Linked DNA regions of Saccharomyces cerevisiae S288C. The protein of the gene in region 1 binds, or shares a complex with, the protein of each later gene. Each region holds a gene or a part of one and is shown on either strand. Other genes may lie near its edges. The genes, in order: CLP1 and PCF11. A codon is read from its position in the direction of its gene.

Region 1 (3,974 bases):
CATCTAACAGTATCCTTATTATATTATCTAGAATAGGAAGTACAGGAGGAGGAACAATAGATGAAGATCTTAAATTACTATTATCCTTGAGCAGAGGATTCCATTCTAGTGAAGGTCTAGTAGGGGATATTAACCGAAGAAATACTGCTGTTGGCACTGATATGCCATTATCTTGTGAGCAGTGAGCATGTATTAGGATTAATATGCATAGATCGTACGGAGTAATAAAGTTAGTAATACCCAATGGACCATACTTACTCATTTTTCTGATCAGTTTTGATTTGCCTTTTCCTTTTAACTCTCGTCGTTTTTTATATTCCTCGATGAAACTGCAGCAGTTTTTTAGCTAGCGCAAATAATGTCAAAGACACAAATTGGCAATATTGTTAATATATAAGCGTTGGAAAAATTAAAAATAAAAATCACCCAAACAATACTTCGACAGTACAGTACGATATTTGTATGGATTTGATATAAGGCTCTTGAACAGATAATTTTACTTACTCTAAATATCTATATGAAGTTAGAATCATCGCCTTGCTGGGAAGTCGGCCTGGGACAGGTAGTAAAACCCTTAATTTACGCCTTTTTTCATTAACTTCTGTAATCAAAGCGAATCCTAAAATAGGCGATTTTATTACTGTTGCCTGATCTGCCCTTCTTTCTGCGAACGTTATGGCTATAATAGCGTGCTGTAGGTTACTTGGAGTTATAGTGACGGGGAACAGTTCCACCCTACCGACCTCGTTATCGAAAACATTGCTAGGTTTCCAAATAGTTAAATCCTCATAATCAACACCAATAGCATAAGGACTCAAGGCTGTATCAAGAGAGCCGTAAAAGTACTCTCTTATGGATGTCCTCTGCAAGGATCTTTTGTATACATCATCAACTGCGGATACACCATCCAATTTAGGAATGAAAAAAATATTATTATTTCCCAATTCTGGACCAAATGTCTTTTTTACTTTCTCCCAAAGAGGATCCGTTTCAGAACATAGTACTAGCATAATGTTAACATTGAGTTTCTCAATGATATGGTGCAGTTCAGCCAAATTTTCATCCAGTTGTGATATTGATGGCGTATCGACAATGCACCCTGATCTCCTGACTTGAGGATCCAAATGTAACCTTTGACCTACTACTTGACCTAACTGGCTTATACACTCAAGGTATAGATCTTTGTTCTCATTAATCCTTTCCAGGCCAAAATTTTTCACCATTGGCTGCTTATTATGTAGTAGTGTGGCACCACTAGTGAGACTCTGACCCCAAGTGGGTAGTTGTGCATCAAGTATATCTGATATTGGGGTGGCAGATATGCATCCAGGAACAGTAAAAATGGGCTGTTGAGGGTCAAGATTGATGTATAGTGGTTGGTAAGCGTTGAATTTCAAAGCGTAAGAACATAGTGTCCTCGATAGGGAAGTCTTCCCGGTTTGCGAACCACCAACAATCACCACTCGAGGGCCTTCAAAGTTAGACATTCGTATCTTCTCCAACATGAAGTGTAGATTATAAATATATTTCATAGTATGGTTAGGCTTGACAGTTATTGTATTCGTAGTTAAATCAGGACATTTCCATAATAATTCTGTTTCTTCGACAGCGTATATGGGAAACTTCCAGTTCTGAAAAGTGTACTCATCATCTACTGCCAACTCGGTGCCAAATATCTCAACTATGCCCGAGTTTACCTTGACTATCAGTTTTCCCTCTGCTTTAAGATCAATTTGCCAATCACTGCCCTTGGGAATAACCAACTTGTGCCATTCGTTATCACCAGTTATCAATTCTTCAGAGGTAGTATGCTCATCAATACCAGGTAGACTTGCCATGATGGTTTAATCGTGTTGGAATTTCGAAAAGAATTAATAGTTTGTTCTTTTCCCTCGATAGAAAGGTCTCTGCTCATTTTTGCCAGCAGTCTTATTTTTTGCTGTTATTTTCTATTTTACCGGGCAATAACAATGAAGAGCACAAATAAGACAAAGAAAGGGAGATCGCCCTTTAAGTAAGTAGATAGATAATTAATATATGTAGCTAAATAAATCGACTTGTCAAGAATATATTTCTCTTATTAATCTCTGTTTTCAGCAATCCACTCGGGCCCGGATTTCAAGACCCACTCGGTCCAGGATCCATCATATAATCTAACATTGGGAACTCCTGCTAGCTCCAATGCTGTCTTGATAATGACTCCTGAAACGCCAGTTCCACAAGAGCAAATAGTTGGTTTACTTGGGTCCAAAGTGCAATGAAAGTCTTTCAATGCCTTTTCCAAAGTAGCGTGTATCGCCTCCCCAGCTTCTGGGTACGTTTTGGTCTCCGGATCAAGTAAACTTCCATATGGTAATGGTTGGGTACCTGGAATATGCCCCGATGGAATGTCGGAACGAGGCTCTGGTTCTGTACCTTCGAATCTACCGAGCGACCTTGCATCGAAAGCATTGAATTTCTTAGCCAGTTCCCCACTCTTTACCAATTGGAACATTTCCTCATAGTCTACAATCTCCTTGTCTTGGAAACTTTCTGAGGACTCATAATGACTCTTTGGATAGGGTGAAAACGCTGCCACCTTAGAGGAATCTAGAGGGTACTTAAACTCTCTGTACTGGTTGAAATTATTTAGTAAGTACACCTTAGGATGTCCCATCACTCCTAATGTCCAAGCACATCTAGGGGAGCTAAAGTTACCAACACGATCGTAAACCACTAATATATCATCTTTTTGAACTCCTAAATTACTCATAGCGTCGTCAAAAACCTTCTTTGTAGGGAACATATGTGGATAGGGCGATTTTTTGTCACTGATTGCATCAATATCAAAGAAAATGGAGTTTGGTATACGTGGTTTGGTCAAGAAATCCACTTTATTATCAAGCTTCCAACTGGGTAGGTACCATGTTGCATCAACTGGAACGATTCTATGAACCTTCTCACTGGCCACTAACTTAACAAACGCTTTTGGAGAAATAAGATCAAATAATGGCATTGAATGTATGGGCAATTTTCTTCACAACTTTATGCTTTTGTCCTCATTGTTTGAATGCACTTACGCTGTATTATTGTACACAGCTGAACATCCCGAGCGAAAATTTTAAAATGGTTTAATAGACGAGATGAGAGATGAGCTCTTTAAAGGTACTTTCTAAGAAGAAAAGTATCGGAACAGGACTTACCACGACAAACTAATCATGCCGGTTACTAAATCTTTATCTAAGTTGCAAAAGAACTTATCCAAGAAAGGGAAAAATATCACGGTTCATCCGAAGGGTAGAAAGTATGAAAAGCTGGTCAGGGCTACTATGCGTGAAGATAAAATCGCAGCCAAAAAGAAGCTTCATCAAGACAAAAGAGTCCACGAACTAGCTCGGGTAAAATTTATGCAGGATGTAGTTAACTCTGATACATTCAAAGGGCAACCAATATTTGATCACGCCCACACAAGAGAGTTTATTCAAAGTTTTATTGAAAGAGATGATACGGAATTAGACGAACTCAAGAAGAAGAGGAGGTCAAACAGGCCACCAAGCAATAGACAAGTGCTACTGCAACAAAGGAGGGATCAAGAGTTAAAAGAATTTAAGGCGGGGTTTCTCTGTCCAGACTTGAGTGATGCGAAGAATATGGAATTTCTAAGAAACTGGAATGGCACTTTTGGCCTTTTGAATACTCTAAGATTGATCAGAATTAATGATAAAGGTGAACAAGTCGTTGGAGGAAATGAATAAGAAGTGTCGCAGAGGAATCTTTATGGTTTATATGCTCTTTATATAATTTTATGTATATTATAGTAGAAAAAGCAAAGAAAAAAAAGAAAATTGATATTATTAGCGAAGCTTTTTCACAAATTAATCCGTAACAAACAAATTGGCAAAGACAATTGAAGGGAGTAGTGCGAAATATGGGCCGTGATATATGCACATTAGACAATGTTTACGCTAACAATTTGGGCATGCTAACCAAACTAG
Region 2 (4,209 bases), on another chromosome or scaffold:
CTCGACGATATAACAGACAGTAATACAACAGAAATTTTAACTAGTGTTGACGTTTTAGGAACACATTCACAAACTGGTACTCAACAATCAAATATGTACACATCAACCCAAAAAACAGAACTTGAAATTGATAATAAGGATAGTGTCACCGAATGTTCGAAGGACATGAAAGAAGATGGTCTTTCCTTTGTGGATATCGTTTTGTCGAAAGCAGCATCGGCGCTGGATGAAAAGGAAAAACAATTGGCTGTTGCAAATGAAATTATTCGGTCTTTGTCAGATGAAGTTATGAGGAATGAAATTAGAATAACTTCACTTCAAGGTGATTTAACTTTTACAAAGAAATGTCTTGAAAATGCGAGAAGTCAAATATCTGAAAAAGATGCTAAAATTAACAAATTGATGGAAAAAGATTTTCAAGTGAATAAGGAGATAAAACCGTATTGACTTTTTATCATTCTACAAAAGACCAGTAACGAAGTGTACCCTGTTTTTCTTTGTCGTTTTCTTCTATAATGAACAATTTACTTTACGGTCTTTAATCGATTTTAATGATTAGTTGGGCTTTTGGCTACATATGTAAAATTACATATAATATAATGGACACATAAGCAAAAAAAAAAAAAAAAAAAATAAACAAATGAGCAACCCATCAAATACCAAGAACAAAGAATTTAATATAATATATAGTTATTAAATTTAAATGTATATATGCAGTTCTGCTCTTATTTTGTGACCAATTTCTTTAAGTCATCCAAACCGACCTTGCCACTATTAGATTTGCTTGAATTTTGCGACGTTTCATGATAACATGTCGAGTGGAAATATTTGCCATTCACTTCAATAGTATTTTTCCAAACCCATTCACCAGATTCTTCATCATAAACGCCAGTAACGGTTTCCTTACAAATTGGACATTTGAAGGCCATATCTTGTGAAGTTTCTGGTACAACAACATATTTTCCCCGTATTTCCAACTCGTTACTTCTATCACTTCCTAAAGTGTTGTCTACAGAGCCTTCGTCATTTTCATCAGCGTGAATATTTAGGGCACTTTTATCGATATTTTTATTGGCATGCGGATCAGTATAATCATTTTTATGCTTTGTGGAGGTAATTTCATCATCTTTGAAGGCTGCCCATTGAGAGTCACTCAAATACCAGTTTCTTGATTGAATATTTTTCCTTGTGGTAGTTGTATTTAAGTTAGAGTTGCTTATGCCTGTATTTGCTGTGTTTTGTGATCCCTTAATTCTTGTATTTATTCTGAAATGCCAGTCCAAATGCTCATTTTGTAGTAGTTTTTCACTTTCTGAGTTGCCAAATCTCTTACCACACACGCTACATTTATTTGGCTTGGATCGGTATAATAAGTGAATAAGATTATTTTGGACGATGGGATTTTCTTGAAGAAGAGTTTGTTCGGACAGCTGCAGGGATGGGTTATTCAAAACGTCGATGTTAACCGTGGCAAAATAAGCTTTGCAGTCAGAAAGAATATCATTTAATAAGGGTATCTTTGGCAGGTTCTTCATCAATTGTTTTTCGTGTGAATCAAGAGAGTAGTTTGAGTGTCCATTTAGCTTTTTATAAAGCGTTACGATGGATTCTTTTGGTGGAGTATATATGAGCCCTTCAGCCTTAAGAGATGCATAGAGGTTATTGATTTTGTTTAGGGACTTTTTTTTCTCAATTTCTTGAAAAGATTCAACGCCAGAAATATTACCAAAAAGAGAGGAAGATAAAGAATTCTGTTGGTTCGTTGTATCTGAATTATTTCCAAACAATGGAATCGCTGAATTAGAGTTTTGTGTGTAAGAACCGACCATATCCTTAGTTTCGTGATACTGCTGCTGCTGCTGCTGTTGTTGTTGTTGCTGTTGCTGCTGTTGTTGCTGTTGCTGCTGAAGTTCGTGATACCTCATTCTTTCCTGCAAAACTTGTTGGTCCTGTGAGAAGACCTGCCTTAGTTGCATTTGAACTTGTTTCAGAGCATTGAGAGTTAGTTTTTCTCTTTTCAGTTCTTGTTTCAACTGAGATAAAACCAACAGTTTCATTTTTAATTTTTCATCATTTGGTTGATTCTTTAGCCTTTCACTAGTTAAACAAGTTAATTTATCAATGTCTCTTAATAGGAGGGGAACAGTCGGAGTTGGTAACATTGCTTGCAGGTTTTTCTGGTGGAGAGCACTGGCCTTTATTAAAAACTGTTCAATTTTCTCCAGTGCTGAGCCTTCAAACAGAGGCAGGCCGGTGTCATTAGGATTCAACCAAAGCTTAAACATATTGATGAGTTTTGTTCTTGTGGTGTTGTCCACCAATAAGTATGTTCTTTTGTACAAGTTAAACAAATTTCTACTGAAGTAGATTGTGTATGGGCTGCCAACATTCTTACAAATGGAGTCCAAGGCATAAAAAGCGTATAGCTTCTGCTTAGGCATACATTTTTCAATTCTACTCTCAATGGCGTCAACAAAATATTGAGCACACGAAATGTTTTCTTCTGCTAACTTCGTGAGAGTGGTAATAATGGGTCTCGAGTTAAAAGTTAATTCTTCAAGAATACTGTTGAAATCCTTGACTATAACTTCTGTGTCGTGATCCATAATGAAAAGAGAGTATTACAAATAGACCTAGTGTTTTCAAGTACAGTTTTCTTAACTGCTCCGAAAATTGTCCTGGTAATTCTTTGCAATGCAAAATTGAAAGAGAGACTTTTAAACTACTAAACCCTTAACAGTAGAACAACATTGTCTCATTAATTTTTGAAATTTCGCTTTCTTCCCATGCCTTAGGCCAAGTTCTCATCCAATGCGTCGAGTCCTTAAAAAAAATTCGCCCGGGTAAACTAAAACTTAGATGCACTAGGTAATACCATTTGGTGATAAAGGGAATAAAAAGCAGCAAATCCTAGCTCAATTACGAAACTCTGATCACTTGGGGCCCAGCTTCATTGGCTAAATTGGTGTATCCCTTGAACCGACTACGTAAGTACGTTTTGAAAAGTGTGTAAATCTATGTATAAAAGTACATCAAAAATTAGACTGAGAAAGTTCTGTATAGCTGTACTAATACATTAGGAATAGGCTAGACTTCTTCGCCGCTGGAATAAAACAGCTGGGCCTTCTCTTCATTGGTACCACTTGCTTTGCTCTATTGAAAGTACAAAGAATAGAGCAGACGAGTGTAAACATCCTATCTGCGTTCCAACAGAAGTGCGTATTGAAGTCATCTCATGCTAATGGCCATCTCATGTAGAATAGTAAGGAAAAACGTATCTAATTTATAAAAACTTGAGTTAGATCTCAAACTTCGGTAGATTGCGCCTTATTTAACGGATGATATACACTTATTCTACTGCTCACATTACTCGTTTTACAGGAAAAAATGGTCAATGCGGGCAAAAGAAAAAAATATTGGGCGATATGTTACAAGAAAAGGGTGAGATGGAAATTTATGCTAAACATTAAGTGGAAAAAAACCATATCCATACAATAGAAGTATATATTCTGAATAAAGGGTCAATTAAATTTCACCAAGGAATAAAATATTGTTAAAGAAAGTAACAGGAAGAGAAATCGGATATGCCTGACAATAATACGGAGCAATTGCAGGGATCTCCTTCAAGTGACCAGAGACTGAGGGTTGACTGGGACAACGGTAACCATTTTGACGTCTCTCCCGACAGATACGCGCCTCATCTATCTGAATTTTACCCAATTGTAAATAGTAAAAGACCAGTGGCTAGCAGTGCTGGCTCAGAAAATAACGACCATCTGGACGACATGAACCATTTACGTTCATCCAAAGTGTATTCAAAGGCCCGTCGGGCATCGAGCATAACTTCTGGTACGAGCACAATAAACGACTTGCAAACGCTAATCACAAAGAGAGATGTGAAAGAGACCCAGGAAGCCCTATCGACATTACTCAGGAACTCGAATGCTTATTCGGATTCGTTATTAAAGACATCTCAGAATGGGGCAGAAATTGCCCATTCCTTAGAAAACATTGCCAAGTTGAAGGGTTGCAATGATGAAACGGCGGAGAAACTATTGAGTGCCAGTGGGTTATTCTACCTTTTATCTAATCATCAGCTTATAATGTCAAAGTATTTCAATGACTTGTTGGGAGATAATTTAATTGATGATATTGATGAATTCGAATTACAGACCAAGATAATGGAGAACAAGTTCAAAGCACAAAGCA

The links.
Region 2: the proteins of CLP1 (region 1) and PCF11 are in contact, whole or in part, in a crystal structure (PDB 4C0B), measured with the Saccharomyces cerevisiae proteins. Residues at the interface, in NP_014893.1 of Saccharomyces cerevisiae: Gln154 (codon at 1,379), Leu156 (codon at 1,373), Phe167 (codon at 1,340), Thr168 (codon at 1,337), Ala175 (codon at 1,316), Pro177 (codon at 1,310), Ser179 (codon at 1,304), Gln191 (codon at 1,268), Ser192 (codon at 1,265), Leu193 (codon at 1,262), Thr194 (codon at 1,259), Ser195 (codon at 1,256), Gly196 (codon at 1,253), Ala197 (codon at 1,250), Thr198 (codon at 1,247), His201 (codon at 1,238), Asn202 (codon at 1,235), Gln204 (codon at 1,229), Pro205 (codon at 1,226), Met206 (codon at 1,223), Val207 (codon at 1,220), Lys208 (codon at 1,217), Val232 (codon at 1,145), Val233 (codon at 1,142), Gln235 (codon at 1,136), Arg236 (codon at 1,133), Leu239 (codon at 1,124), Asp240 (codon at 1,121), Gln242 (codon at 1,115), Arg330 (codon at 851); in NP_010514.3 of Saccharomyces cerevisiae: Asn460 (codon at 1,229), Thr461 (codon at 1,226), Gly462 (codon at 1,223), Ile463 (codon at 1,220), Ser464 (codon at 1,217), Asn465 (codon at 1,214), Ser466 (codon at 1,211), Asn467 (codon at 1,208), Leu468 (codon at 1,205), Asn469 (codon at 1,202), Ile477 (codon at 1,178), Gln478 (codon at 1,175), Ser479 (codon at 1,172), Arg480 (codon at 1,169), Asn481 (codon at 1,166), Trp482 (codon at 1,163), Tyr483 (codon at 1,160), Leu484 (codon at 1,157), Ser485 (codon at 1,154), Asp486 (codon at 1,151), Trp489 (codon at 1,142), Ala490 (codon at 1,139), Ala491 (codon at 1,136), Phe492 (codon at 1,133), Lys493 (codon at 1,130), Asp494 (codon at 1,127), Asp495 (codon at 1,124), Ile497 (codon at 1,118), Thr498 (codon at 1,115), Thr500 (codon at 1,109).

Annotation. Positions count from the first base shown.
Region 1 is NC_001147.6:800,470-804,443, forward strand, and holds CLP1 (cleavage polyadenylation factor subunit CLP1), read right to left. Parts: upstream 1,839-3,974; coding exon 501-1,838; downstream 1-500. Other genes in the region: APC5 (anaphase promoting complex subunit 5), read right to left, coding at 1-262; TUM1 (thiosulfate sulfurtransferase), read right to left, coding at 2,081-2,995; TMA16 (Tma16p), read left to right, coding at 3,198-3,734; peptide alpha-N-acetyltransferase subunit NAT5, read left to right, coding at 3,908-3,974. UniProt on the Saccharomyces cerevisiae protein: Component of the cleavage factor IA (CF IA) complex, which is involved in the endonucleolytic cleavage during polyadenylation-dependent pre-mRNA 3'-end formation. Associates with HRB1/CF IB to form the cleavage factor I (CF I) complex.
Region 2 is NC_001136.10:921,201-925,409, forward strand, and holds PCF11 (Pcf11p), read right to left. Parts: upstream 2,607-4,209; coding exon 726-2,606; downstream 1-725. Other genes in the region: chromatin-silencing protein SIR4, read left to right, coding at 1-447; IVY1 (Ivy1p), read left to right, coding at 3,585-4,209. UniProt on the Saccharomyces cerevisiae protein: Component of the cleavage factor IA (CFIA) complex, which is involved in the endonucleolytic cleavage during polyadenylation-dependent pre-mRNA 3'-end formation and cooperates with cleavage factor NAB4/CFIB and the cleavage and polyadenylation factor (CPF) complex.